Elephas maximus indicus: one gene and its partners. The protein of the gene in region 4 interacts with the protein of the main gene of each other region in a pairwise test. Links are inferred from orthologs where the notes say so. Each region holds a gene or a part of one and is shown on either strand. Other genes may lie near its edges. The genes, in order: MYO9A, CDC42SE1, ARHGDIA and CDC42.

Evidence for each region.
Region 1: the proteins of CDC42 (region 4) and MYO9A interact in a two-hybrid assay, tested with the Homo sapiens proteins (3 studies listed by BioGRID and IntAct). The link is inferred for Elephas maximus indicus from reciprocal best matches to the Homo sapiens genes CDC42 and MYO9A.
Region 2: the proteins of CDC42 (region 4) and CDC42SE1 interact in binary tests that used the Homo sapiens proteins (3 or more experiments, as listed by UniProt). The link is inferred for Elephas maximus indicus from reciprocal best matches to the Homo sapiens genes CDC42 and CDC42SE1.
Region 3: the proteins of CDC42 (region 4) and ARHGDIA interact in binary tests that used the Homo sapiens proteins (3 or more experiments, as listed by UniProt). The link is inferred for Elephas maximus indicus from reciprocal best matches to the Homo sapiens genes CDC42 and ARHGDIA.

What each region holds. Positions count from the first base shown.
Region 1 is NC_064831.1:62,409,682-62,416,853, forward strand, and holds the start of MYO9A (unconventional myosin-IXa), read right to left. Parts: upstream 3,014-7,172; 5' UTR 2,930-3,013; intron 2,412-2,929; exon of another isoform or gene 2,323-2,411; intron 1-2,322. UniProt on the Homo sapiens protein: Myosins are actin-based motor molecules with ATPase activity. Unconventional myosins serve in intracellular movements. Regulates Rho by stimulating it's GTPase activity in neurons.
Region 2 is NC_064821.1:185,114,736-185,122,146, reverse strand, and holds the start of CDC42SE1 (CDC42 small effector protein 1), read left to right. Parts: upstream 1-4,403; 5' UTR 4,404-4,551; intron 4,552-4,794; exon of another isoform or gene 4,795-4,935; intron 4,936-7,201; exon of another isoform or gene 7,202-7,297; intron 7,298-7,411. UniProt on the Homo sapiens protein: Probably involved in the organization of the actin cytoskeleton by acting downstream of CDC42, inducing actin filament assembly. Alters CDC42-induced cell shape changes.
Region 3 is NC_064837.1:71,666,377-71,673,326, reverse strand, and holds the start of ARHGDIA (rho GDP-dissociation inhibitor 1), read left to right. Parts: upstream 1-3,940; 5' UTR 3,941-4,048; intron 4,049-5,613; 5' UTR 5,614-5,634; coding exon 5,635-5,824; intron 5,825-6,029; coding exon 6,030-6,113; intron 6,114-6,368; coding exon 6,369-6,445; intron 6,446-6,525; coding exon 6,526-6,589; intron 6,590-6,712; coding exon 6,713-6,912; 3' UTR 6,913-6,950. UniProt on the Homo sapiens protein: Controls Rho proteins homeostasis. Regulates the GDP/GTP exchange reaction of the Rho proteins by inhibiting the dissociation of GDP from them, and the subsequent binding of GTP to them.
Region 4 is NC_064821.1:62,284,685-62,291,727, reverse strand, and holds the start of CDC42 (cell division control protein 42 homolog), read right to left. Parts: upstream 3,001-7,043; 5' UTR 2,894-3,000; intron 2,251-2,893; exon of another isoform or gene 1,917-2,250; intron 1,900-1,916; exon of another isoform or gene 1,799-1,899; intron 1-1,798. UniProt on the Homo sapiens protein: Plasma membrane-associated small GTPase which cycles between an active GTP-bound and an inactive GDP-bound state. In active state binds to a variety of effector proteins to regulate cellular responses. Involved in epithelial cell polarization processes.

The DNA of each region.
Region 1 (7,172 bases), on a different chromosome or scaffold from region 4:
ATTTGCCTGCCCTGCTGGTAGTCTTGCCTTTAGCTTTATTCTACCCTTCAATCCACCATCCTTACTGATGCCTAAGTAACCTTTTTAAAAATCAAAATCTGGTCATTTCAGTCCCCTGCTTTATGCCCTTCACCAAGTTATCTGATAAACATTATAACCATCATCAAAGCTAGTCACACCATGGAAGCTCAGAGGCTCAATAAAAAATTCAGTTGTTTTGATTTTTGGAGATGCAACACAAAAAGAATCATTAGGAAATTTTTTTCAAATCCCAAAAACTATTTAAACATATACCTACCATAACTGCTGACACATTTAAAAGAAAAGCACAAAGTATTATTTGTAGAAGCAAAAGTCTGAAAATAACCTCAAGTCCACCAAAATGAAATACTATCCAGCCATTAAATGAGACACTTCCACATGCACTGTTAAAAAGTGATCTCTAGGACCAATTAAAGGAACCCTGGTGGCACGGTGGTTAAGCAATCAGCTGTTAACCAAAAGGTCTGTAGTTCAAATCCACCAGCCGCTCCAAGAGAGACAGATGTGGCAGTCTGCTTCTGTAAAGATTATACCCTCGGAAACCGTATGAGGCAGTTCTACTCTGACCTACGGGGTTGCTATGAGTCAGAATCAACTTGACAGCAACAGTTTGTTTTTTTTGTAAGACCAATTATTAAGGAACCAAAGAACAGAGTGTATAGTATGCAACTGTTTGTGTATGGCATGTGCGTTTTTTAAGAATATAAAGTATAGGCTCAAAAAGGCTCATATCTGCTGGAAATACCAAGGAAGGCTACACAAGAAGCTGGAAATGGTGGTTGACTCTAAAAGGGAAACTGTACGACTAGAGAACAAAACGAAAAGAGAAACTTTTTACTACGTATTCTTTTGAACGTTTTGACTTTTATACCATGTCTAGTTATCATCTATAAATAATTTTAATACGATTTTCTCCCTCCCCAGCCCCGTCACACACACACAAAATAAAAACTAGTCACTACAAAGACCACTCTCTACTTCATTTTCATCCCTTCAAGGGAACTGCTTAAATATGCCAACCTTAAAATTATGCACGGATCACTTGATGCAACATTACATTTCCTTCTTGACAGCTCAGGAGTTCAACTTCAACAAACAATATTTTATTCAATGTTTTACTACTGGGGAGAAGGCCGCTGATAATGACATCAATGTACACGGCATGATTTTTGGACTTGCTCCAAGCACCAAATAGCAGGAATTTATTATAAAATTGACATTCAAATCTTTAGCGATTAAGGGAAAGTTGTAGGTCTTTATTTTCCCAGTAAATTCAAAAACATCAAAAAAAAGTCCCCTAGTCCCCTCCAAAACGGTGTGAAAGAGCCGTAAAAATCTCCAAGTAAATAACATATACAGAGGCACAGTTATGTCAATTAGTGTAACGTGATTTAATTCTTATAGAGGCCCCTAAAATGTCAGATCCGTGCTATCTCACAGATCTGGGCTATCACACGTTCTACAGAAGACAGATGAGGAGCAGCCTCTGTGACCTTGTAATTGTACACACACACCCCGTGCCCTGTGCTTCCCTCTCCCTCCCTCCTTCAGTTGCCAGCTCAAACCCTCCAAACGTAGGTCTCAGTGGGTATAAGCCCTACTGGCGGGGAATACACCAGGCTAAGCAAACTCCCCTCCGGACTCCCTGGCAAAGCCCTTCCAACTAAAGAAAGGATCACAACTGGGGAGAAAGAGAACAGATTTGCCGGAATCTGTGGGAGGGGGTAGGGAAGAGGCCGATGCCTGTGACAGCGTCTAAAGTGGGCCTGACTCCAGATCAACTGGGAGAAAAGACCATCACGAAATGCAGTGTCCTAAAGCCGTGATGGGTCAGGGAAGAGCCAGCGGACTTGGCAGTGAGCAGCTGTGAGGGGGGTCGGGGGGCGGCAGTAGCGACAGCTCTGCCTTGGAGGAGGGGGTCGCAGTGGGTTGAGGGGCGGCCGTGGCTGGGTCTCAGGGGAACTAGGATCGGGTCAGCTTATGGGATGTAACGGAGTCTGGCGGCTCCATTACGGATTCTAAGAGAGTCTGAGGGGGTGCTAGTGGGGTCTGCACAAGCGCCGCGGGGACTGGAGGGCCGGGACAGCGTCCGACCAATGGAAGATACGATGGGTGGGGTCGACCGGGGCCGAGGTCGAGTATCGGGGAGGCTCGGGGTAGACTCGCTCGCGGGGCGTCTCCGCTGCGGCGGGGCGGGGCGGGGCGGCCGTGCAGAAGCCAAGGAGCGAGACAGAGACGTGGGCTGGGCCGGGGCCTCTGGGCGGCTGGGGCGGGTCTTACCTCGGGCTCCGCCGCTGCGGCCACCACAGTCCCCTCCTCGTCGGCGGAAGCCGCGTCCCAGCCTCGGCCCCAGAGTCAGGCCGGAGGAGGCAGCTGAGGTGGAGGCCACACAGGGTCGGACGGTTTCGGGAGGCTGGGCCCGGCTGCTTCAGCGTCCCGGCGAGCGGCCGCCGCGCATCCCCCGCCCTGTCAGACAGACTCCGCCCGGGCTGGGCAGGCACATCCCCCGCCGCACCCCGCCCAGAGAGCACGCGTTGGACCGCCGCCTCGACTGCTGTCGGCCGCTCTGCGGGTGCCGCGGAGACCGCCTCCGCCGCCTCTCACCGTCCTGGTCGGACTTAGCAGCCTCAGCCAACCGCCACCGCCTACCTCGTCTGCTACGGCCCGCGCGGCCCCGACCCCGCGCACACGGCCCCGCCCCGCGCGACTCCTCGGCTGCAGGCGAGCAGGCGCGCGCGCACTTACCTCCCACGCCCCCTACTGAGCGCCCCGCCCCGCCCTGCCCCGCCCCCGAACGTGACGCCGCCGGAGTGTACTAGATGCGCGTGCGTGGACCCGCCCCATTTCTTCCGCCCCAGGCAGCCCCGCCCGAACTCTTCTTCCTCACCTTACGGCACAACTAGAGACTCTGCCTTAGCTTCTTCCCCTCTGCTAGAGGGCAATGTCGCAAGGTTGAGGAGGAAAACTCTGGGTTTGCGACTGTAGCTCTCGCTTTCCGGCCAATACAGAGGAGCTGAAGGCTGGTTGGGGTGGTGAGGCCCGAGGCAGGTAAGGAGCCGCCTCCTTCCTTCGGTTTGTTTGTGAGTTTGTCCCAGCAGAGGACCGCTTTGCCCCCCACACAGACTCTGGCGTATCCGTGCCCCCTCCCCATTCTGGCGCTGGGTTTTCAGCACCGCCCCTCATAGCGTCCGCCCCTTTCCACTACACACCCGCCCCTTCTCCCCGCATGGCCCCGCCCCGACCTCCGGTTTCAGGTCTTCATTGCCGTTCAGTCCTCAGACTTTGACTGAGTGCTGTCTGTTCCTTAAAATAAAAATAAATTTTATTTTAAGGCTGCAGAAAATCAGAGGAGAGTAAAATGGTCGCAGGTTTTTGAAGTGCCGTGTAGTATGGGACACGAAGAAAGAATCTGCAGAACAAAAATTATAATAGAAAAAAAGCACAGGATGCTCTCTGAACACAGAAGAAAAAAAAAAAAAAAACACTTGCCCAATGGAATCAGTTCCAACTCATGGTGACTGTATGTGTGTCAGAGTAGAACTGTGCTCCAAAATGTGTTCAATGGTTAATTCTTCGGAAGCAGATCGCCAGGCCTTTCTTTCCACGCGTCTCTGGGTGGACGCCAGCTGCTAACCTCCAGCCTTTGGGTCAGCAGCCGATCGAACAACCGTTTGCACTACCCAAGGTCTCCTGTTTCACTCTTCAGAAGACCATTAAAAGACTAGTGAGCACTAGCCGAACAAGGACATGAAAGAGGAGGCAGAAGCAGAGACAATAACGAGTGCAAAGGCCTATGACAGTATTCTCCTGGAAGAGTAAAAAGTTAAGAATGTTATATAGCTGGTGGACACCATACTGGTGTAAACTTCTCTTTAAGGAAGCATCTTTGTAAGGGATGAGAGAATATGGGCTACAAGAAATTTTTTTTAAGATAGGAGACTCTTGGGCATAAAAATGTATCATGGGTGGAGAAGTGGGCCAATTCAAGAGAGAACTCGTTGCCATAGATTCAGTTCCAAATCATAGCAACCCTGTAGGATAGAGTAGAGCTGGCCCATAGAGTTTCCAAGGAGTGGCTGGTGGCTCTTAACTACTGTGTCACCAGGGCTCCAATTTAAAGGAGAGAGAGGCTAATTTATAAAATCAACATTTTGATGCAGACCAAAAACCCAGTGCCGTGGAGTCGCTTCCGACTCATAGCGACCCTGTAAGACAGCGTAGAACTGCCCCGTAGAGTTTCCAAGAAGCGCCTGGTGGATTTGAATTGCCGACCCTTTGGTTAGCAGCCGTAGCACTTAACCACTGCACCACCAGGGTTTCCTTTTGATGCAGAGCACTAGTGAAATCTTTATCAGTAGGGTTTCAACCTTGTATGTACTTTATAATCACCTGGGAAGCTTTTTTTCTATTCAACCTAATACTGTTGCCCCATCCTAGACCAATTAAATTCTGAGGTAGGGTCCAGGCATCAGTTTTTGTTTGTTTAATGCTCCCCAGGTGACTCTAATGCTCAGGGTTGAGAACCACTAGACTAGAAAGAAGAGAAGTAGGGAAGAGCAGAAAGTTGGGGGAGTTGATGCTGTGAAATTTAAGATGGGGGTTATTTAATGAAAGAGAAAGTTAGGGATGGGATGAGAAACTTGAGCAGAGCAATAAAAGCTTTGAATAACTGCTCTGGGAAATGGGAGAAACAGCTGCTCCTGCCTTCCCTTTCAGAGTTCCATCCCTCTTACTTAGAGCTCCTTCAGTTACTGCCCTCTTCCTTTTCCTTTCCCTTCCATCTAGTATTTATCAGCAGGGAATCCACCCTTAGAGCTCAGCTTTATATATTCTCACAAAGACTAGAGCTAAGCCAGTTTATGCTATTCAAAGACCAAGACCAACTTACATACCTCTAAAGATTACTTACTACACACAGTACCTTGACAGTTTAGAATCTGTGTTCTATTAGTCATTCATTAATCTTTTAAGAAGTACCAACTATAAGTGAGGACTGAGATATAAAGATGTATAATATACAGCCCTAGTAGATTGAAAGAAAAAAAAAAGGTGATGTCAAATACACTCTGAATCACGGGAATCCCCAGGTGTGTCAGAGTAGGACTTGCTCCATAGAGGTTTCAATGGCTGATTTTTTGAAAGTAGATTGCCAGGTTTTTCTTCAGGATATCTCTTGGCGGACTCACAGCCAAGTGTCTTATTAACCATTTGCGCTACCCAGGTCACAAAGGATTGGGGAAAACAGGCCTTTAAACGAAGAAGAGCTCACTTGGCAGGCAGAAAAGAACAGTTAAGGCAAAGCCCAGAACAGTGCATGCTACTGTCTACTGTCTATTGTCAGCTACCATCAAGTAGGTCCCCGACTCATGGTGACCTCATGCACAACTGAGAGGAACGCTACCCAAACCTGCAGCATCCCCATGATTGATTGCATTTTGGGCCATGTAGTGCCTAGAGTATTTAATGGCTGGTTTTCGGAAGTAGATCGCCAGGCCTGTCTTTTCTTCCTAGTCCATCTTAATCTGGAATCTCTTCGGAAACCTCATCAGCACCATAGCAGTGTGCAGAGGACCACTGATAGACCGGTGGTGGCTGCACACGAGGTGCATTGACAGGGAATTGAACCAGGTCTTAACTAGGGTTAATCCCAAAACCTGTCTGTCTACTTCCAGATAAGATTACTGTTGTGTGGTATGGTCAGAGCATAGTATGGAGAGTAAGGGTGGGGCAGAGATGAAGCTTATAAAGTGGGGTGTGAACAGATTAAGAGAAGCCTAGAATTCCATGCCAAAAAGTTTAGGTTTTATATTGTAACCAATTAATAGATATAAATAATAGAGGTTCTTAACCTCTTTATGCCATGGACAGCTTTGGCATTGTGGCCTGTGGACCCTATCTCAGAATAATGTTTTTAAATGCAGGAAATAAAATATATAGAAATATAAAGGAAACCAATTTTATTGAAACCATTTTTATTTTCAAAATATTAAAGCAAATGTGTAAGTTATATATGTGCTACTTTATGGAGTATGTAATACCAAAAACCAAACCCACTGCTCTCGGGTCCACTCTGACTTATAGGAACCCTTTTTTTTTTTTATAGGACAGAGTAGAACTACCCCATAAAAAAAAAAAAAAAAAAAAAAAACCCCATAGGGTTTCCAAAAAGCGCCTGGTGGATTCAAACTGCCAACCTTTCGGTTAGCAGCCATTTAGCTATTAGCCACTATGCCACCAGGATTTCCCTAATACTTAGCAGCAGGTCTAATTATGTAAAAAAAAAAATTATGTAATTACAAAGTGATAATGAGCTTAAATAGTATCTTTGAGATATTTGTATCTCAACTTTAATGTGATGTGAAAATACCAGATTTCTAACACTAATAAAGATGTAGATATGGCTGATATGGTTTATTGCCTATACTTATAATTGAAGAAAATGCTAAATTTCAGCCAGAGATTATTGAAAATAAATGTAACTTTTTTCCCAGTCCAAGTTCATGAAACCCTTAATTTCTAGCCACAACCTTACCCATAAATCCCAGGTTTAAAAGAACCCTTGGTGTAAAAGTTTTAAGCAACAGCATGACAGATCAGATCTGTGTTTGAGAAAGGTACTAGAGAAGTGTTCACTTTCCATCCTCTCTGTTGAGGTAGAGTGGGAGAATATGGACTGGCTCTTTCTTCTCCTGTTCCTCCTGTACTTCAGTAACAAACAGTACTAATCTATAGCTGCCTAACAATCTGGGCCGGCAGTGGGAATGACCTTGTAGGTGTGTAAGTACATGGGAGCAGTCAAACCATTGACAATGGAGTTGATTCCGACTCACAGCAACCCGATAGGACAGAATAGAACTGGCTCATAGGGTTTCCGAGCCTGTAAATCTTAATGGCAGCAGACTGCCACGTTATTTTCCCGCAGAGCAGCTGGTGGATTTGAACCGCTGACCTTTGGGTTTTTGTTTGGCAGCCAGGCACTTTAACCATTGGGCCACCAGAACAGTACTAGGAAATAAATCAGGAAAAGTAGACTGAATCTATTTTTGTGGAAATCCTTAAATGCCAGACTGTAATTTGTATGTACTTAATTCGATAGACAATGGAGAGATGTTGAAATTCTTGGAGTAGAA
Region 2 (7,411 bases), about 120 Mb from region 4:
TTACTGCTTACTGCATCAAGTCGATCTTGGGTCTGGTTTTTAAGGCCTTCCAAAATCTGGCCCCACTCTTCCTAGCAGTACACATCCTCGGCTACAGTTACATTCGTCTCTGTCTTACTTAACTCTCTCCACTCTCCATCTTAAAATACTACTCTAGTTTCAAGATTCTGTATAAGTCCCTTGAGGAATCTTTCCTATATTTACAAAAATTGGATTTCTTCCTGCCTAGGTCATGGTACCTCTGAAAAGGTTTTCCATGACATTTCTGTTTTCCTTCTTGCCTTCTAAACTCTACTATAAAGTGATTTCTTTGTGGATGACATCCTTAAACTTTCCCAGCTCCATCTATCCTATTTCCTCCAGCGTCCCCCCAGCAGTGCTGTAGAAGTTTACCTGACTATATCTGTTTGGGGTTAGAAGTCACTATTATGTGTCTTGTGTAGGTGATGGTCTTATCTTCTTCAAAAGACTTGGAATTTCTCCAAGGGTAAATACAAGTCTACTTTCTCTGTACCTTCGCAAGTACTGAGCTCTGCACAGTTAAAGCTGCTAACTAATCTTCCCTCGCTATTTAATACAATGAATATCTTGTATCTATATAGCCCACAGTTCTGCCTTAACAGATTTTTTCTCTCTAGCTCCTTCTGAGCAAAACCCAGGTTCTAAAAGAATTTTCCTATGCTATAATGGGATTCCTTTTCTCTGATCCCAATGCTAGAATACATCTGATAGTACTGAGTGCAAATGGATTAGAAATTCCAGGTAATAAAAGCAAAGTTTAGATCAAAAGGGGAAGATTTTTAACAGAATCAGCTACTTTTTCATGCTTTAATGATTAATTCTATCACCTTTTCTGCTCACCTCACCCACACCCTGATATTATATGGCTATTCTATCTCCCTGCAGCCTCCACCCTGCTGCTTACTAGCCAAGGGAAGGAGCGTTAGTTAAAATGTTCCCAAAGGAGCAGAAAGAACATTGCCCTGTCTCCAAAAATAAAATCTCAAGTTTCAAAAGGCCTCCTTTCAACACACCCCATCAGCTTTCACAAGGAATGAGACTCCTAGCTAGCTGTCTTCAACAGGCTCTGAGATGCCCCCATATAATATGAAATGACATTACTAAAGCAGAAAAAGGACATCTTAATCTAGAACAGGGTTTTGTGGAAGAGTGTAGGGGCTTTAGGAGTGATGAGTGGGTAGACTGAGATGTTTTTAATATTAAAAGCAATTTCTAAATTCCTCTTTTTCTTCTTAGGCAGGTTCAAGTTCCAAAATAAACCCTGGGGAACTGAACATTACTCAGCAGAGAAGCTGCTTAGAAGGAGGGTGATGCAGGGAGGACTGGAGCAGGGTGGGGATCATGCTGGAAAAGTGATGTCATCATCCTACAATATTCAGCTCTGATCATCTCCAGTCATTTGCAGAGACACGTGCACTGAAAGATACAGAAAATGGTTGTAGGTACTAATAAACCAACCTCTGCTTGAGTTTAGGACCGTAGCGATCCTAAGAAGCCAACCCTAGGAGTCAATAGTGTTATTGACTTCTGCCCACAGGGAATTTTTTCTTATAATACTACCAGTATTTTCTTAGCTAGCTGACTTCTTTTATATTCCCTCTCTTACAAGTACCCTCCAGAGTGAGCTTAGCATAATGCTGGGCACATAATAGGCTTAAAAAAAAAAAAAACAAGAACCATAGGAGGAAATAAAAAAACCTATCAAATTTTAAAAGTAGAAGGCACCTTAGAAATTAGCTAGTGGCTTTCAGCCAGTTTGGATAGATTCATGTCTCATCATTCCCAATTTGGTAACTTTTCAGTGTATTTGTACATAGATACTGCCCAAACAGTCCCTGTCTGTGCCTGGAAGAACTTATCTTGCAATTAAAAAAGCTAAAGGGAATTTTTACAAAATGCTAAAGTCCTAAAATCTCTAGTTATACCACTCATATAGAGGCACATACAGAGAGTACCGAATGCATTCTAGAAAGACAAGTGGATGTGGCATTTAAAATCAAGTCAGGAACATAAGACTACACCATAAAAAAAAAAAGAAAAAAACCAATGCCTTTGAGTCAATTCCAACTCATAGCAGCCCTATAGAATAGGGTAGAACTGCCCCATATGGTTTCCAAGGAGCGGTTGGTGGATTTGAATGGCCGAGCCTTTTGGTTAGCAGCGGTAGCTTTTAACCACTATACCACCAGGGTTTCCGACTACACCTTAAAAAAGTTAAAATTCCCTTTACATTAGTAATGAAATTCAGATTTAATGTGATGTGTTTTAATTTCCAAGTCCCCCACATTTTGCAAAAGGTCCCTTTTCAGCTAGCTTTCCCTCTCTGTCCAGATATTCTCTACCCATACCTCATGGTGGTATGGGCACTACTTTACATGATTTACTTATCTGAAAGGGCGTGGACAGTACCATGGACAATAATATGTTCTCATTATCCTTCATTTTAAATTACCCAGATATCTTAGGCAAAGGTAATTAATAAACTCTCCCTTTTTTTTTTTTTTTTAATATTCTTAGATACATGATGAGAGAATATACAGATTAAAAAGACACACCTGCTCTAAGCCACATAGACATAGTTGAATACCCCTTGCCCTCACCCTCTGTGGGCCTCACTGACATCCAGGGCCTACCCAACAGGGCCTTGCTGTGTCATGCTGCCATGGTGCTGGGGATGGCGGAGGGGCGAGGGGTGCTAGACGGGAATGGACGCTCTCTGGTGTGTCATCGTATGTACCTCACCCTGAGCTTGGATCTTCCTGTTAGCCATGTCATTCCCCCACCTATTTCATTGAGCTGCAAATAAACATTACTTTTCCAGAATCTGTCCCCATACGTAGCTCCCATGGCTATACTGATTTCAATATGGGATCAAGCAGTTTTCCGACACAGGGCGTCCCCCCCTTTCCTACCAGAAGCTGCCTCTTTCTTTGGAGCAAAGGTTTTAGATGGGGAGTAGACCGCTGAAAGGGAGGTCAGGATTACTCTAAATATTATACCATATCCCTCCCTCCCAAAATTCCCTCCTACAGAGACAAATAAGTTTAGGGGTGAGGGTAGTAACATCAATGAAACATTAAGATAAGGAAAAAATTGGAAATACAGAGAAGAGGCTAGAGTGATATGGTAGGGATAAAGATGCATCAAAAACCTGGTAAATCAAATTATAATAGCTTAAAAACAAAAGTATAATTAGTTAGACTGGAGATTAAAATACTGAGAACAATGAGTTACAGAAAAATAAATACTTGAAATAAGAAGGTAAATGCTGAGAGACAATAACTACATGTAAATGGTTAGAAATATTTATATAAAGGACAGCAAGCAAGGTGATCTTAGTAAAGAGATGTAAAACAGTGATCAAATAACTACCCATTGTTCAGAGCGCCCCCTTCTCTCCTCTTGAACTGTCCCCCAAGCTCATCCTCACCTGGGGTTCTCAACCTAACCACAGGAAGCTGCTCTTATATCTTTGCAACCCTCCCCCCCTTCCCCTTCCCTCAGTTTAGTTTACCTGCTATCAATGAATTACTAGTGAAGTGCCTCTGGGGCTCCGGGTTCTGCTCTGGGCTGGAGAGAAGGCTGCAGAGGCTTTGATGGCTTTGTCTTCTCACTCTCTCGCTCTCAATGACTGAGTCTGTCTGCTCAACCTCCCCCTGCAATGCAGCCCCTCCTAAGAAGGGCGGAAGGACTCCCCGCCCCCACCTCCTCCCTGCCTGACTCGGCTATTCCAAATGACAGGTTCCAGAACACTTGAGGGGAGGGAGAGGATTAAGGCATCTCCGTAGGTTTACTGGTCTGGTCTGTACAATTAAATTATTCTCCATCTCTTCCAGCACCCTCATGCTGACTGGCGTGCAGTGAATGAGCAATTGTCTTTTGCTTTAATCTTATGTTTATGGATTAAAAGATTTTAACTCTGTAGACAATGGAAAGGGCAGTGTCCTTTACTTCCCCAATTTAAGGATTTCAGATTATGATGTGTTTTTGAGAATCAGAAAAACTCATTCACCGGTCCCCCTAATCCCTGCTGCTTGCCCTCACAAATAGGTGAATAAACCTAGCCCTTTTCCATTTTGGGTAGAGCACAAGAAGACGGGGGTTGTGTGAATCTCCGTACTTGGTTGGGTCTAGGGGATACGGGGCTCCGCTTGGTTTAGCCCCGCAGTGCCCAGCGCGCAAAGGCAGCGTGAGATTCCCAGGCGCCCGGTTTAGGTGCCAGGCCCTTATGGAGGTGTTCACATCGAGGTGTCAGGCGGGGCGTCCTTCGGCGGTCTCGGCGGGCCCCCTACCCGCCGCTCTTCGGTACAGCGCCCAGTCGGTCCAGGGAGGAGCTGTGCGCCCGGCGCCGAGCCGCACGGGTTTCGTAATCACGTAGCTGCCGTTTCCGCCCTCCGCCAGCCCCACCTCTACCGGCCCGCCCTCGGCTCCCCACCGCACCGGGGAGTGAGCCCGGGAACCCCGCACCGGGCGGCGCGGAGCGGAGTCCCGCCAGCTGCAGCCGGGCGCCTCGATGCCAGAGAAGAGCAGGTGAGCCCGTCGAGTTTGTGCCCCCGGCCCGCCCGCCCCGGCCGTCCGCCCGGCCACCCGCCCGGCGGAGACGCACCGGATGCGGCGGGGGGAGGGACGATGGCAGGGGCCGTGGAGATGCCGGGTCGGTGGGAACAGGGTGCCTCGCTTGGTAGCAGTCCCCATCCGCGCCCGTGGGAGAGAAAGAAAGGACTGGAGTGTTGGGGGCGACGTGCGAAAGGGACTTCTCTGAGCTTCACTAACCTCTGTGGCGGCGCGTGCCGGACACAGTGAAGCGGAGCTGGGTCCTGGAAGGTCCAAGTCAGACTAAGGCACCCACGGAAAAGAGAAAGATCCACAGAGAGGTCCCAATCCAAGTTCGAGGTGGGGAGGAGCAGAGAATTTCTGGGTAGCGATGGCGGGAGGTGGGGGGAAGACAGAAATAGAGTTTATGTGACTGAATATAATGGGGTGGAGGAGCTTAGAGCCTGGGTCCGTTTCCTCTTTAGCCTCCAAAAGTCCTTTCCTGGGGAAGGGCAGGGTTGATGCTGGGGCAAATGCCTGTCACTTTGCTGAAACGTGGGGTTCAGCCTCCCGTCTCCAGGGTTGCTCAGCACCCCTCCCTGTCCCAAGGGTCTCCACAGGGACCAGCTGCAACCCTGGGCTTATGGCCAGAATTGCCCACTCCATTTTCTCAATTCTCTTCTCTTTCTCTCCAGTTGGTTCTTGTGAAGGCTTGTCAGGCAGCGGGTTGGAGACCTTGGGGCAGGAGGCAGCGGAACCGGGAAAACCGGTTTGGGGCTAGAACCGGACCAGGGAACTACCTCTGTACATCCCTCCTTCCTGGAACCCTCCTCACATCCCATCTCCTTCTCACCCCCTCAACAGCTTTGAGGCCTGGGGGCCAGGGTCACCTTGGATGCCTGAGTTTTCCAAAAGAACACCTGGCTACCTCATTTTCATTTTCTCACACAGAAAGAAGAAAAACTCTGTCTTGGGCTGGGAGCCAGTGCCTGAGTCCCCTTAAGTCCTAGTGTGACCTTGGTGGTGGGGTGTATTTCCCAGCTCTGTATTTCACTCTTCCTATTTGGGGCACAGAGAAGCCAAGTTCTCAGCACTACTTGGCTGTCAGGATGTGGCCTTATGTAGCCTTATCCTGATCCCTCCTGTTGTTTTCCCAGCCCTTTCCATTTGAATGTGTGGTTGAAATAGTGGGCAATGGATTTGAGTGCTTCGTCCTCCTGAGTCCACCAGCTCAGACTTTGTTTCTTCAACCCACCCTTCTCTGGCTGCTTTAAAGGAGAGTGGCAGCCAGTAGCTCTTACTTCCTTTTCTAGCCTTGTTTGCCTTCTGTCCCACTCCTCACCTCCCGCAGTCACCCTGCCTTGTCCTCTCCACACTCCTACCCCACTCCCAAGTTTCAGAGACCCTGATGTCCTGGGGAATGGAATTTCCTGGTCACGTCTCATCATCATTGGTCATTTCATGCCAAGTCCCACACACACACTTTTCCTCCACCCAGCTCTGGCTAGATCCCTGGAAAAGGAACAGAAAGTCCTTGTTTTCCTCCACTGCCCCTTTCCTTCTATCTCCTCCTCCCCCTTTTTTCTCCTCTCCCCTCCCAGCACCATCCACGTCTGTCCACTCAGCTTTGAGCAAGGGGGGGGGGGCGAGAGATGTTGGGGAAAGTCCAGTCTAGTATAGCCTGTCTGGAGCGGGCGGGGGGGGGGTTTCCTCTGATTCTTCATTGTTTTCTCCATTGCCCCTGCCCCAACCCTTACCACCCACCACCACCATCATGACAAACCCTGTGGCTGACTGACTGACTTCCCCACTGACCACAGCTCCCCTCTCTGGACGGCTGTATTCTCACTTCCGCCCCGTCTGGTTACTCCTCCCCTAAAGTAGTAAAAAGGAAAGTAAGGGAAAGCCCAGACTCCTAGGTCATTCCCTCCCTTAGAAGTTGTGTCTCTGTATTTTTGTAATCTCAAGACTGCTAAAACATCTCTCATTTCTTAGGTCAGTCGAGGGTGCTAGGACATCAGAAAGGGAGATTCCTATTCATGCTAACGGTGTAATATTCATGAAACCACCCTGTTTAGAATCTTTGAGGTTGTCTGTACTGGGAAAGTCCAGTGAATATAGAGGAAACCCAGATGGCTGGCAGTAGTGAGAAGGGGAGGAACTTCTTTCTTGGACACTGGTGCTATTGGAAAGTTCCTTGTGTCTGGTTGGCTAATGAACCTTGGGATGGAAGTGCTGAGGAGGGAGGAGCAAACAGGTCACAGCATGAGGGGAGAAAGGAAGGAGGCTGGGGCCCTATCAACTGTGAGGCAGAGCAGGACAGGATAGGACATGTGAAGAGGGTGGGGAGACTGGAAAAAGATTTCCTCATGGAACAGAGGCTACCTGGCACATATACCTACAGTCTATACCCAGATTTTGTATGTAAGACACACACGGAGACATAGCCGTGCCACATATTTGTGAACAGAGGTATACATGCAGGAGCACAGCGATACACAGATGAACAGTGTGTACACAGCCTTCGCCAAGAATCTCAAAGTCAAGTAATAAAGGAACTGCTAACTGACTTCTGGGAGGGGTTGCATCTCAGTAGAGGGAAATGAGGAGGAACTAGGGCAGTGAACTGAAGGAAGAAATTGCTTACCGTAGAAAGCTTTGAGGTCCAACGTGCTGCAGTTAGTCTCCTAGGATGTTGGTGGTCAAGGCCTTTCTTGTTCTTAAAGAAAATCTAGGTGTTTAGGGCAAGACAAGGTAAAAGGAAGGGGCAGGGTGGAGGCTTTGTTTGTGAAAAAATGAAAAACCACCATTTCCTCTTCAGAGTCACTTAAATGCCCCTCCCCTTCTACCCTAAAGC
Region 3 (6,950 bases), on a different chromosome or scaffold from region 4:
AAAAAAATGAAATTAAGTAAATAATGCCACTCACAACAGTATCAAAATGAATAAAATACTGAGGAACAAATTTAACAAAAGTGCCAGACCTGTATATGCTGAAAACTACAAAATACTGCTGAATTAAAGAAGACCCAAACAAATGCACAGAATTGTTCGTTGACTGGAAGACTCAATATTGTTAAGATAGCAGTTCTTACCAAATTGTCCTGTAGAGTCAGTGCAATCCCTATCAAATTCCCACTGGGATTTTATTTTGAGAAATTAATAGCTGATTTTAAGAAATTTATATGGAAAATCACTGGACCTAGGATAGGTAAAACAATTTTGGAAAGAATGAAGTTAGAAACTTACACTACCTAATTTCAAAACTTATGATAGAGCTATAGTCATCGTGATGTTTTGATATTGAATAAGGATGTGGACTAAATGGAGCAGAACTGAGAGTTCAGAAATAAACCCTTATGTCTACAGTGAATAAATTTTCAACACCAGTGGCAAGACAGTTCAGTGGAGGAAATTATAGTCTTTTCAACAAATGGTGATGGGACAAAGATGAAACACTGACTTCACACCATATACAAATACAAAAATTAACCAAAAAAATGGATTGTAGACCTAAATGCCACAGCTGAAACTATAAAAGAAGAAAATACAGGGAAAAATCTTCACGACCTTAGGTTAGGCAAAAGAGTTCTTAGCAATGACACCAAAAGAAAGAAACATGAAGGAAGAAGTTGACGATTTGGACTTCATGAAAATAAAAATTTTCCCTTCAAAAGACACCATTAAGACAATGAAAGACAATTATTGCTTATGGAGTCCCCAGCTTAGGTTGGGGTTCTGGTCCGATAATGCCATTGTAAGAGTCTGTTCTGACATAAGTTGAATACTTTTTTTTTTTTTTTAGTTTTCATAGCCTGCTGTACAGCAGTTTTGTGAACAGCAAATTACAACATTGAACATCTGTGAGTGAACATCTGAGCATGATAACGTCAGCAAAGTACACATTGCAACATTGTATGTAATACCTATTGCTAAGGATAAGATGTATTTAAAAAAAAAAAATGGTAACTCAATGATGTTGGGGACTACCTGTACTGAGTTTCAGTTTATGGTGATAGAAAAATCTCATGAAGGGTAGGGTTGCACAGTAGATTTATGTAGTTGCTGTCAATAAGTTGTACACCTGTAAAAAGCTGAATTGGTAAAAGTGTAGTAGATACATTTACAATGACCAAAAAAAAAAAAAAGCTGCCGAGGCTGCTTATGTACTGTCGAACACCTCATGGAATTGGGTTCCTTAATTTGGAGGTTTAGAGTCATGGTTTCATGGAACATCCCAGTTAACTGTCCTAATAATGTGTTTAGTGCTTCTGTTCAACCTCCTAGTTCGATGCCTGGGGTCTTAAAGGCTTGCAAACATCCAAGGCTCAACAATTGGTCTCTATTCCCCTGGAGCAACAGGAAGAAGAGTCAGAAATGAAAGGAGGAAATGGAATGTGCGGCTTATTGCCTCCATGAACAACTGCCTCCTTTGCTATGAGACCAGAACTGGATGGTATCCTGCTGCCATTACTGAACATTTTAATCAATGATTCTATAGAAGAATTCTGGTCTAAAGCGGGGAAATGCAGAAGAATTTCAAATTTTCATGGAATCCAAATCTTTCTGGAGCCATGGAGGCTAGATGAACCCTGAAATGATTGCCCTGAGATTATCTAAACCTTAAAACAAAAATATCCCCTAAAGTCATCTTAAAACCAAACAATAGCTAGTAAAGAACATTTGCCTTGAGCATTGTGCTTTTTTAAGATTAATCTATGGGATCAAATTGATGACAGCAACTTGAAAGATTAGATAAGAAGCTCAGGGGGCAATGAGTTTATGTTAATGGAGGAGGAACAGCTCAGAAAAAAGTGAGAATGGTTGCACAACTAGAATGTAATCAATGTCACTGAATTTGTACATGTAGAAACTGTTGAATTGGTATATGTTCTGCTGTGTATATTCTCAACAAAAAATAATTTTAAAAAAGCTACAGAAAATATCTGCAATCATAAAGTCAATGGACTTGTATCCAGAATGTAAAGAAGCTGTTACGGATTGAATTATGTCCCCCCAAAATATGTGTCATGATTCCCAGTACTGCGCAGTTGCCCTCCATTTTGTGATCTGATGTAGTTATCCTATGTATTGTAAATCCTAACGTCTATGATGTTGATTTATGAGTTGGAATCGACTCAACGGCACTGGGTTGGGTATGATGTTAATGAGGCAGGACACAGTCTACAGGATTACGTTGTATCTTGAGTTCATCTCTTTTGAGATATAAAGGAGAGAAGCAAGCAGAGAAGAGAGGGGCTTCAGTACCATCAAGCAAGAAGCGTCAGGAGCAGAGTGCGTCCTTTGACTTGGGGCCCCTGTGCTGAGAAGCTCCTAAACCAGGGAAAGATTGATGACAAGGACCTTCCCCCAGAACCGACAGAGAAAGCCTTCCCCTGGAAGTGGTGCTCTGGATTTGGACTTCTAGTCTACTTGCAGCATTATATAACTAAGACAGGAGCCCTGGTGGTGCAACCATTAAGCACTCAGCAGCTAACTGCAAGGTTGGGAGCTCCAACCCACTCACAGACTGGGAGAAAAGACCTGGTGATCTGCTCCATAAAGATTGTACATAGCCAAGAAAATTCTTTGGGGCAGTTCTACTCTGTCACATGAGGTCGATATGAGTAGAAATCAACTCAAGGGCACCTAACAACAACCACATTTAGAATATATGCCCTTCCAGCCTTGGACACCAATAAGTGAAAGAGACCCAGCACCCAGCGTTGGGATGTGGTGAGGGAGTCAGGGCCTGTGGTGTAGGTGAGGCGGAGCATCAGTGCCAGGAACTTCCTTCACTTGACAATCATGGAATTGCTCGGTAATGGGATGCCTCTGAAGTGATCCCCCAGCGAAGAAGACAGTGTGCTGGGCTTGAAGAACCCTGTGATTCGAAGTCGGCCCTGAAGGGGCTGAAAGGAGAGACTGGCAGAGGAGAAGCCTCGGGCCTCTGCAAGGTGTGGACAGTCAGCAAAGGTTCAGGCCCTTGGCTAGGTGTGGGTGGTTTCCAGAAGATGCTGGTATCCACGGCCTTGCTCATCAGCACGAGCAGTATACAGGGCAGGGCAGTGGGGACACTGTGGCCCACACGCAGGGACCTGACCAGACGCCTGGGAACCGTCTCCCCAGCGTTCCCTCAGAACCTAACCCAATGCTGAGTGCTCACTTAAGCTCGTAGGAAGCCTCAGGACACGGGACATTGCCAGGTGGCACCAAGAGGAGCAATGCGATGCGGACGGTCCGAGTTGGAGGACAAAAGGCCAGTTAGGGCGACCCTCTGGGAGAAACATTTGGGGTGGATGGCGGGCTTTTGGGTTCAGTGTGATGCTGCAACCGTGTGTACGTGAAGGGACACGCTTATTTTAAAGATGCGTGTTAATTGCCTGGAAGGGCGATAACATGACCTGTGATTTTAAATGCTTCCAGGTTAAAAGCAAGCTGTATCAAAACGTTCAGTTAATAGATCAATATAATCGACAAAGCTGCTCAGTCTGGGCGGTGGACATGAGCTCGGTCACACCGTCTCTGCACATCTCGTTACAAAAAGTGAAGGAGGGCGCGGCGGCCGAGAGGCCGTACCCCGAGGTGCTTAAGCAACCAAGAGAGTCACAGCACCCAGATATCAGAAGCAAAGAAGAAAACACAAAGCCGCATCCGGTCTCCGGCCCAGCCCCTCCGCCCGCCCACGCGGGACCGCCCCGCAAAGCCCCAGCCCAAGATGGCGGCGACGCGCTCCTGGCCGCCACCCGCACGCCCGCGCCTTGCGCATGCGCTCTCCGACCCGGCCCTGCCCGCGCATGCGCCCCGGGTGTGGCCCAGCCCGCCTGGGAGCGGAAGTCGCGTGACCCCGGAAGTGACAAACGGGCTGGCAGGCGGGTGGGTCGCCGCGACGTTCGTCACTTCGTGCGGGAGGGAGCGAAAGGCCGCGCGGTCGAACCCTCCGGTGAGTGCCCGCGGGCGGCGGGGTGGCGGGGCGGTGGACGGGACGAGATGGGGCCGCGCGGGCGGGTGAGGGGCGCGCGCCGCCGGCTTTGTTTCCGCAGCCCCGCCCTGCCCCGCCCTGCGGCCCGGCCTGGGGATCCCGGCGGGATCCGGGCGCGAGGACGGCGCTGCGCGCGGCGGTGACAATCGGGCCTGGCCCGCGCGGTGGCCGGGGAGCGGAGGGCGCGGACCCCGGGCTGGCGGCGGCCGCACGTGCCGTCCGGGGCGGAGGCGGCGCGGAGCCAGGGAGGAAGCGCCTGAGGCGGGGAGGGGCCTCGCTGTGGCCATCCGGCTGGCTGCCCGGCCCCGCCGATGCGCACCCACCTGCCTGCACCCGAGCCTGATGCGCCCCGCATCCGGCACGTGAGGCGGCTGGCAGAGCCCGGGGCCTGTGGACCCTCGGGGCGCGCCAGCGGTGGGGCGCGCGGGTCTTCGTGCACCGCGGCAGCCCCGCCCCGCCGCGCCCCGCCGGGCCTCGCCCGCCCAGATTGCAGGGCCGCACGGAAGTGCTGGCGGCGGGGCGCGCGCTCTCGAGGCAGAGCTGCCCTGAGGCCACCCTGCTGCGCCCCGGGCCCGCGCCTTTCAAGAAATCCTAGAGGAATCCTGGGGGGCAGCGAGCGGGAGGCGAGGGAGGGCCTGCGGCGGCTCCGAGGCCCAACCCTGGGGCCACTACGTGCATCCCAGTTTTGAAGTAGGCCTGTTTCTGGGGTTGGTTACTTTTCCCGGAAAAGCCTGAGAGCTTGAAACGATTGAGCGGGTTTTCAGCAAACGTTGGGGAATCCCGGTTGGAGAATTCCAGTGGGAGCAGAATGTGGGTCCCTAGCGGGAAAGCCCCGTGTGACTTTTCTGGGGACTCTTGGTCACAAACTCACACAGTTGGAGGGAACCTTGGCAGAAACTTGGGGCTGGCCTCGTGTCCCGCGGAGGCCCCTGTGGAGCTGAGCTCCAGAAGAGCTTGATGTTAGCAGGTTGAGTCGGAGCCTGTGTTCTGCTTAAAGGTTTCATTATGGGGGGTAGGGTCTGGGTCAGAGGAGTGGCCCTTACAGGGAGGCTGAGCTCACTGACCGGTGGGGGTCATGGCAGCGGGCTTGGGCAGCAATATCCCGAGTCTTTAGAGGTGATCCACTCAGGCCCTGCCGGGTGGCTCTGGGAGTAGCTAGGTCATGAGGTGCCCCAGCCTCACCCCCTTCCCTTGGGTCCCTGAGGGAGCAGGGCAGTGGTGCCCATTCAGTCCTGGGTGCCTTGTCTGCGTGGTGCCTTGCACTGCCCACGCCCCCTCCCCCCCCAGCATGACTCCCCTGAGGTGGGCAGGCCTGGGATACATGTGGGTTCTTTCTGAGTTGCAGAAAGCTGTTCCTTGGGCACTCTCTGTTCCTCAGGCACACGTTGGCTGCAGCAGGAGCCCCCTTCCTGTTTTCCTCCTTTAGGAGTGGCCTGCAGGGGGCTGGAGGGCTGGCTTCTTTAGTGGCAGGGTCCCAGGGGGCACAGGCTTTCCTCCAGGCTGCCACAGCTCCTGCCGACCCCCAGGCATCCCAGAGGTGAGTGAGCATGGCTGAGCAGGAGCCCACCGCTGAGCAGCTGGCACAGATTGCAGCTGAGAATGAGGAGGACGAGCACTCGGTTAACTACAAGCCACCGGCCCAGAAGAGCATCCAGGAGATCCAGGAGCTGGACAAGGACGATGAGAGTCTGCGCAAGTACAAGGAGGCCCTGCTGGGCCGCGTGGCCGTGTCTGCCGGTGAGGACCCCACTGTTCCCCCAGGCAGCCTTTCCTCTGAGTTTTATCTGCTGCCCCCCTGTCCTGCTCTGGTGGGTTACCAAGTACAAGGAGGTCCTGCTGGGCCACGCAGCCATTTCTGCTGGTGAGGCCACTGCTTCCCCTGCGTCCCGCCCCCCTCGTGGGTTACCAAGGACTGGGGCGCTGATTTTCTGTCCATCCCCAGACCCCAACGTCCCCAATGTCATCGTGACACGGCTGACCCTGGTGTGCAGCACCGCCCCAGGCCCCCTGGAACTGGACCTGACAGGTGCGTGGCAGCCAGGATTCCTGGGTGGGGCCGGTGGCACCCTGTTGCTTTCCCTGAGCATTGGTGCCCTGTGGTGGGGAACATCAGCTGCAACCAGGTGGCCTTTGAAGGGTTTTGGCCCCGGAACAGCCTGAAGAGTTGGGGTGCCTGCACCGGGGCATGTGTGTCCATGTGCTGGCATGGAGGGACTAGGCTGATGCAGGTCTGAGGTGTATAGGATGAACCACAGACTTCTCTGAGAGTCTCTGTCCGCAGGAGACCTGGAGAGCTTCAAGAAGCAGTCGTTCGTACTTAAGGAAGGCGTGGAATACCGGATAAAAATCTCTTTCCGGGTAAGGAGGGTGGGGGCTGCCGGTACGGGGCTGCAGGGAGGGCCGGGCTGGCTGAGGGGCTGACCGGCTGCTGTCCCCAGGTGAACAGAGAAATTGTGTCTGGCATGAAGTACATCCAGCACACCTACAGGAAAGGCATTAAGAGTGAGTGCACCTGTGTTTCTTCTGTGCCTTGCCCTCCCCCAGACAGCCACCCCGGCACAGGTGGGGTGGGAGGGGGTGGAAGGAGGTGGGGCAGCACTGATGGGGGGGTCCCTGTGGCTGCAGTTGACAAGACCGACTACATGGTGGGCAGCTACGGGCCACGGGCAGAGGAGTATGAGTTTCTGACCCCCATGGAGGAGGCACCCAAGGGCATGCTGGCACGGGGCAGCTACACTGTCAAGTCCCACTTCACGGATGACGACAAGACAGACCACCTGTCTTGGGAGTGGAACCTCACCATCAAAAAGGACTGGAAGGACTGAGCCCTGGCTGGGAGGAAGACAGGGAGGGACAGACGGAC
Region 4 (7,043 bases):
TTCAATGAGCCCAAATATGGATACAGCTGATCAAGCACAAAAAGATGCCTTGGGAAACAAAGTACAAGGGCTTATGGAATACGCATAGAGGAAAAATGTCAACCCTTAGACAGCATCAAATTCATCCACCTGACAAATATTTCTTGAGACTTACTTTGTGCCTGGCACTATTCTAGATGCTAGGATATAGGAGTGACCATACCAGGCCAAAGCTCTGCCCTCATAGAGCTTACATGCTAGTGGGAGAGACTGACAACAAACACATTTAGAAAAGAAAACTGAATAAGGAATTATAATAAAAGCCTAGAATGGAGCCCTTTACAAATAGGAGGATATACAGATTCATATATGGGAAATAAGTTAACACACTATTACTCCCTGCTCCCCGAAAAGCCCTGTAGCCTACAGTTCTCATTAGGGGCTCTTCATTGCTCTCAAAAAAGACACTAAAACAATAAACAAATGCATTTAGAAATCTATCCATAAGTACAACTTGACTTTTACTTTCAAGAATGACTATCAATATTACTCATCAGACAGGCACAGCAATTGTAGTTTTCCAAATTTGACAGCTCTTGAATCAAAACATTTTATTAGCATAACCGTTTAACAAGAAATGCTCTTCCAAATAGTCCACAAAAGTGCAAATGGAAAAGCATCCTAAAAAAGAGGAACAAACCTTGAAGTTACAAAAAGACTTCAAGATTTGGTCTTGGTATTCTTTAAGAATCTCACTGATGTTTAAGCCCCGACTACTCAAAGCTGTGTATTTACCTTTAAATTCCAAAGAAAAAAGTTTCACTGAGCACAAGTGTTGGCTACTACATGAAACCATTTTAAGAGTAGACAGAGGATGTTTAAAGACATTACTGGAAGAGCTTATTTTCAATCCTCAATTATTTTGTTGTCTCAGTCTGAAAATTGTTCATTTAAACTATTCTGCTATATTTTTAAGAAGAAAGATGTGAACTGATACACAGAGACTTCTTAAAAATAGAGGACTCGAGAAATAAGGCAGCAGACCAGTGTTTCATTTTTATACTTCTAAAGCAAGATACCACTTTAACGCAAAGAAAACTATTTCAGAAGATTCATGTGCCATACCTATCTTCAACACCCACACTGGAGAAAGCGCATTTAAATCTACCACTTCTTAAAGTTTGTGTTTCTTAACAAACAATCTGTTCTCTCTACACAAATGAGAAACAATAGAAAAGTACTTGTACCAACATGAACTACCCTTTGTAACAATGCATTCACACAACTGAAATTCATCTGCTTTACAATGCTAACATTTTTCTGTGCTACCGTACTCTGTACAAGGATGGAAAATTTAGACTGTACCTCACATTCTTGGGAACAAAAACAGTGATCCCAAAAGCCTAAAAATATCACTCATTTACTTTTTTTGGTAAAAGCTCAAAACTGTTTTGAATTAAAAAACTAAAGTGCCTAGGAAGCAAAACTGATCCTCTCACTACCACACCCTTGCCACAAAGAGAGCAACTGAGGCAATCTAGGTAGGTACCGTGCATCAAACAAGTATATGGGACAAGTCAATCACTCCCGGAAAGTCATTTGGGGGCCAAAAAAATGCACCCACAAATAAGGTGGCTTCGTTCAAGTACAGTCAGAGGGGAATTTTAAAGTTATATTCTATGCAAATGGCTACAGAAAGTGTTGTCTTACGCTTTATTTTCTGTCACAACCTAATTTTGACATTTAAACCTTCCTTTAGATGCAACTGAGGTGGCCAAGAACAAGAGTAACAGGATATCAAAAAAAAAAAAAAAACCACCTCCGAATATGACGCGCTGGGGAGCGGAGCAAGGGAAGTCTCTGGGTGACCCACTGAAACTGCAAAAACGCTGTCTTACTCTGCTGAGTCCCTGACTTGGAGGAGTTAAAACTCTCACCCCTTAGACTGCGATGACGTAATCTTCCACACTGCATTTCTCTAGGATTTAAAGGGGAGGAAAAAAACAAACGAACAAAGAAAATTTCCCCTTAGTAAGAGGAATTAAGCCGACGGCCGAGCGACAGTTTCGGGAGGGGTTAGGTAACTCCCTGAAGGGGAAGCCGCAGCTGAATGAGCCAGGAGAGCGTTAGGTGCTGGAGGAGCAAACGGCAACGCTGTGGGCAACTCTACCTAGGGCAGGAAAAAGGACCCCGGCCAGAGGGCGACCGGACCCACCCTGCCCCGAGAAGCCGGCGAGCTGGGCGGCCGCGGCGGGAAGGGCGTCGCAGGCCCGGCCGGGCCACTCCGCAAACTGCCCCCTCCCCGCCCGCCACTTCCCCGCCGCGGTCGCGAGGCCGCTCCCCTCCCCCCGCCCGCCGCAAAATGTCCGCGGCGGCGCCCGGCGAAGCAGGAAGTCGAAGCCGAGCGCAGTGGGCAGCACCCAGCCTTCGAGCCCCGGCCACCGACACGTCCTCCGCCTCCAGCGCCCGCGCGCGGCTCCGTGAAGCGGGGCCCCAGGCGCCCCAGCCCGGCCGCCCGCCCTTGGGTGCCCACGGGGCCCGGCCGGAGGGGGAGGGGGACCCGGGCGGCCGGGATGGGTGTGACCCCTTCCTTCCGCCGCTGCCCGGTGACAGCCCGGCCCCGCCCGTGCCCTCGGGCCGACACCCGGAGCACCGGCCCCGCGCCTCGCAGCGGGCGCGCACCCTGCCTTCCCCGCCGCGACTCCCGCCCCTTAGTGCCCCTACAGAACGCGGACCCGCGCTCGCCCGGAGGGCGCAGCGCGAGCCGGGCACCCTCCCGCGTTCCGCGCTCCCAGCCGTCCCAGAATCCCGGAGACCACGGGTCCCCGAGAATGGGGAAAGACTGGGGGCGACGCGGTAGGGACAAGACGATGGGGGAGTCGCTCCCTCGGGGAGCCTGAGGCCCCGCACTCACCTCAGCTTCTCCGCCGGGGCGTTGGCAGCACTGCGCGGGGTCTCCTCGACTGCCGGACAGGGGCACGCACCTGACGTCACCACGCAGGAGACGCACGGCTGGGTGCCCGCGGAAGTGGGAGGGATGGAGAGGGGAGGAAGAGGCTGGGACGGCTCGAGGCGGAGCCTAAATTCCTCCTCCGCCTCCGCTGCGCTGGACCAACGCGCACGCGCAAGACCGGAATGGCTCACGTGTTTAGTATTCAACTCGGCACCTCTTTCCCCAGTGCTTGCTGTTCAAAAACTAGAAAGAATAGTTTGCAGAACACACCAATGACATTTCTTTTGATCCTTGCTACCCTGGGAAGCAAAGTATTATCGTTCCTATTTTGCAGAGAGGACAGAGGCTTCTCAGAGACTGGCAGTGATTTACCCGAGATCACACAGCAAGTGGGTGGCCTCCTGGCTCCCCAGGTCTGTATTCAGTCCGCTGTGGTGTGAGAGCTGCGTGCACCCCACTGTCCCTCGCTTCAGCCACAAAGGTCTTCTTTTGTTTCAGAGACTTCCTCCCCACCGTAGGGCTTTGCACTTGTTGGTTGACTTTCTCAGCCCTCTAACGTCCCGGTCTTCCCTATCATCCTACCCTCACCAAAACCAAAACCAAACCCAGCGCTGTCGAGTCGATTCCAACTCATAGCGACCCTATAGGACAGAGTAGAACTGCCCCATAGAGTTTCCAAAGAGCAGCCTGGTGGAATCGAACTGCTGATCCTTTGATTAGCAGCAGTAGCACTTAACCACTACGCCACCAGGGTTTCTCCTACCCTCAAAAAAAAAAAAAAAACCCTCAGAGCACCTGTTTATTATGTTGCCGCCGCTAGCTTTCAGGCTCCGGGAGAATAGGAACCTTCTCTGTCTTATTCTCACATGTTTCCCAATGTTCAGAGAAAAATAGTTTATCCTAGTAATAGTTAATATGTTGCTTACTGCCACAGCTATTTCGCCAACAAAGATAAAATTCCAATATATTTCATTTAATCATCATATTTTCTCTTGGACTTTTTAATTCCACAAAAAATAACCACATTTTTCAGTGTATACTATAAGCGTGGTGCTAACAACTTTGCATGTAGGAGTAAACAATTTCTAAGAATCACCCTGTGAAGTAAGCACTATTGTCGCCATTTTATGGATGAGTGAACTGAAACTCAGCGATGTTAAGAAACTTGCCAAAGGTCACCCAGCCAGGCAGTGGCAGAGGAGGGGCTTGGACCTAGGCTCTTGGACCCAGGAGCCTGGCTCTAGTTTGACCACTACACTATCTTACAACCCAGTAGGTTTATTATACAGAAATCAGAAGATAAACTTCAGGTCTAATCCTACCCTCATGGATACCAGCTATTAACATTTTGGTGAGTACCTTTCCAGACTTTTTTCTATGTATATGTATGTTTAAGGAACCCTGGTGGAACAATGGTTAAGCACTCAGCTGCTAACCAAAAGGTCAGTGGTTAGAAACCACCAGCCACTCTGCTGGAGAAAGATGTGGCAGCCTGCTCCTATAAAGATTACATCCTTGGAAACCCTATGGGGCAGTTCTACTCAGTCCTATACGGTCGCAATGAGTTGGAATCAACTCAAGAGCTATTGGTTTGGTTTGGTTTATATATACATTTATTTTTACCAAAATAAGATCGTGACCCGCTTTTCTCTCTCAAAACATTATGAACATCTTTCCATGTCAAATAAAGCAACATTTTTGCTAACCAAGAGGTCGACAGTTCAAATCTACCAGCCGCTCCTTGGAAACCCTATGGAGCAATTCTATTCTGTCCTGTAGGGTCCTGTGATTTGGAATCGACTCAACGGCAGTGAGTTTGGGTTTTTGTTTTTTGGTTTTTTTTTTTGGTGTTCTACTATATGGGTATTATAGAATTTATCCAATCTCCTATTGTTCAAGACTTAGGCTGCTTTTGGCTATTTTATTTTTTTTGAAAACTTGTAAATTTTTGACTACTGTAAAAATGCGTAAGCTTAGTTTCTGAAACTTGAAAAGTGGTTGTGTTTTCTCCCTCTGCAAAGCCAGTTTGCAATGACATTTCCTTCATCCCGTCTCACAATCTCATGAATGTCCCCAGACAATGCCTGCCCTTTCCATAGCAGCAATATCTTGATGGGGTGTCACCCAACTGCTCAACTTCTCTTGCCTTCATTCAGAGGACAAGGACTTTGTCTATTATGTTGTCAGATTTTTATCAGGAAGGCCCTCCCAGACCTTTTCACAGCCCCAAATGTCAGTGGCATCACAACTTGACCCCAGTCTACCCCATCCCTTGCTGCTGGCCCAGCCTGCTAGTGTCTCCTCCTCACTGCCCCACTGGCTACAGCTGCTTCATATTAACAGGAGAGGCAGCCCGTGGATATCCAGCCCTCCCTCCCCCACTCTCCGTTTGCCAGCCCACTGTCAATTTCTCCTACTTCTGGTAACAACACTTCACTTCTCCTGAGAAGTCTCTTACCCAATTCTCGATTCCTGTAACTCCAGAGGAGGTGGCTCTACCTCCAGTTGCAGGGATGGACATGTGACCCAGGTTTGGCAAATCAAAGAATTTATAGAGAGTCCTCTTGCCACAGCACTTCAGCAATGGACTTGTGACCTAATGAGAACAAATAAGATTCAATTCTGGGACTTTGATCAGAACCTTCATGTTGAATGAATATATCTGCTGAGGGCAGGATGTAATCGTGGCACGGCTGGCAGCCATCCCACTGCAAGGAGAGAGACTGTCTGAGCATAAGACCAAGACAAAAAGGGAAAAACAGAGCTGATGGATGGAGACAGTGAAACCAAGTCCCAGTGGCATTGTTTGAGTCCCTAGACTCAGCCTTGCTCCAGTTTTCAATCACATGAGCCAATAAATTCTCTCTATTGGTTAAGCCAGGGTGAGTAGGTTTCTGTCGCTTGCAACTACAAGACCCCTGATGACTCGCTTTGCCACCTCTGGCCCCTATGTCTGCCCATGTGTGGTACTTGCCACCACCCTCTATGTAGAAGACTCCCAAGTCTCTACCTCCTCCAACCCCTATTCCCACCCCTATTTCCAAATTTCCAGCTACCTAGAAGTCCTACCAACTCAAAACCCATTGCCATTGAGTTGATTCCAACTCACAGCTACCCTATAGGAAAGGGTAGAGCTGCCCCATAGGGTTTCCAAGGAGCAACTGGTGGATTCAAACTGCTGACCTTTTGGTTAGCAGCCAAGCTCTTTAACCACAGCACCACCAGGGCTCCCTGAGTTCCACTAGCAACAGTGAAATCATCCTTCAGCTCCCACCTGCTCCAGGTTCTGTGGTCCCTATATCTGCTCTTGGCCTCTGTACCCTTCTATATTCAGGATTTCCCAACCTTTGCTGCATCAGAGAAAAGGTGTATAACCCCATGCCCACAAAATTAATATCCAATTTCTAGAGGCTTGCTTTATGATTTTCTGTTTTAATCTTGATCTCAGCTCTGATTAAGTCACTCCCTGCTCAAAAACCGTCAGTGTCTTCCTCCTTGGTCTTCAAAATAAAATTCAAAGTCCTTTAGCCAGGCATTCTGGGTCCCCCATGATCTGGCACCAACTTATCTTTCCAACCTTATTCCCCTTTCCTTTCCATCACACACTTAAAGCTGCAGCTAGACTGAATTACTTTAGGATTATGCATATAGGTACCGTGATTTCTCACCTCTGTGACCATGCTCACACTGTTCCCCTAGCCTAGCACACCTCTCCCACTCATACATCCTATCTCTCAACTCCCACTTGCCTTCCCACTATGAACTGAACCTTCCGCCAACACTGATCTTGCTCTTATCTTAAATGGGCTGTGTCCTTTCACCTCTATGCCTCTGTATATTCGGTGGTTCCATTCTCTGTCTGCCAGACTTCTCTCTTTCAAGGACTAGGGTAGACCTTGGCTCTAAAGCCTTCCCTGACAACCCCAGACAGCCAGTCATTCCAGTAATATCTAAAGTATACCAGTTGCCATTGAGTTGATTCCTACTCATGGTGACCCCATGTGTATCGGCATAGAACTGTGCTCCTTAGGGTTTTCAATAGCTGAGTCTTCTAAAGTAGATCACCGGGACTTTGTTTTCAGGCACCTCTGGGTGGACTTGAACCTCCAGC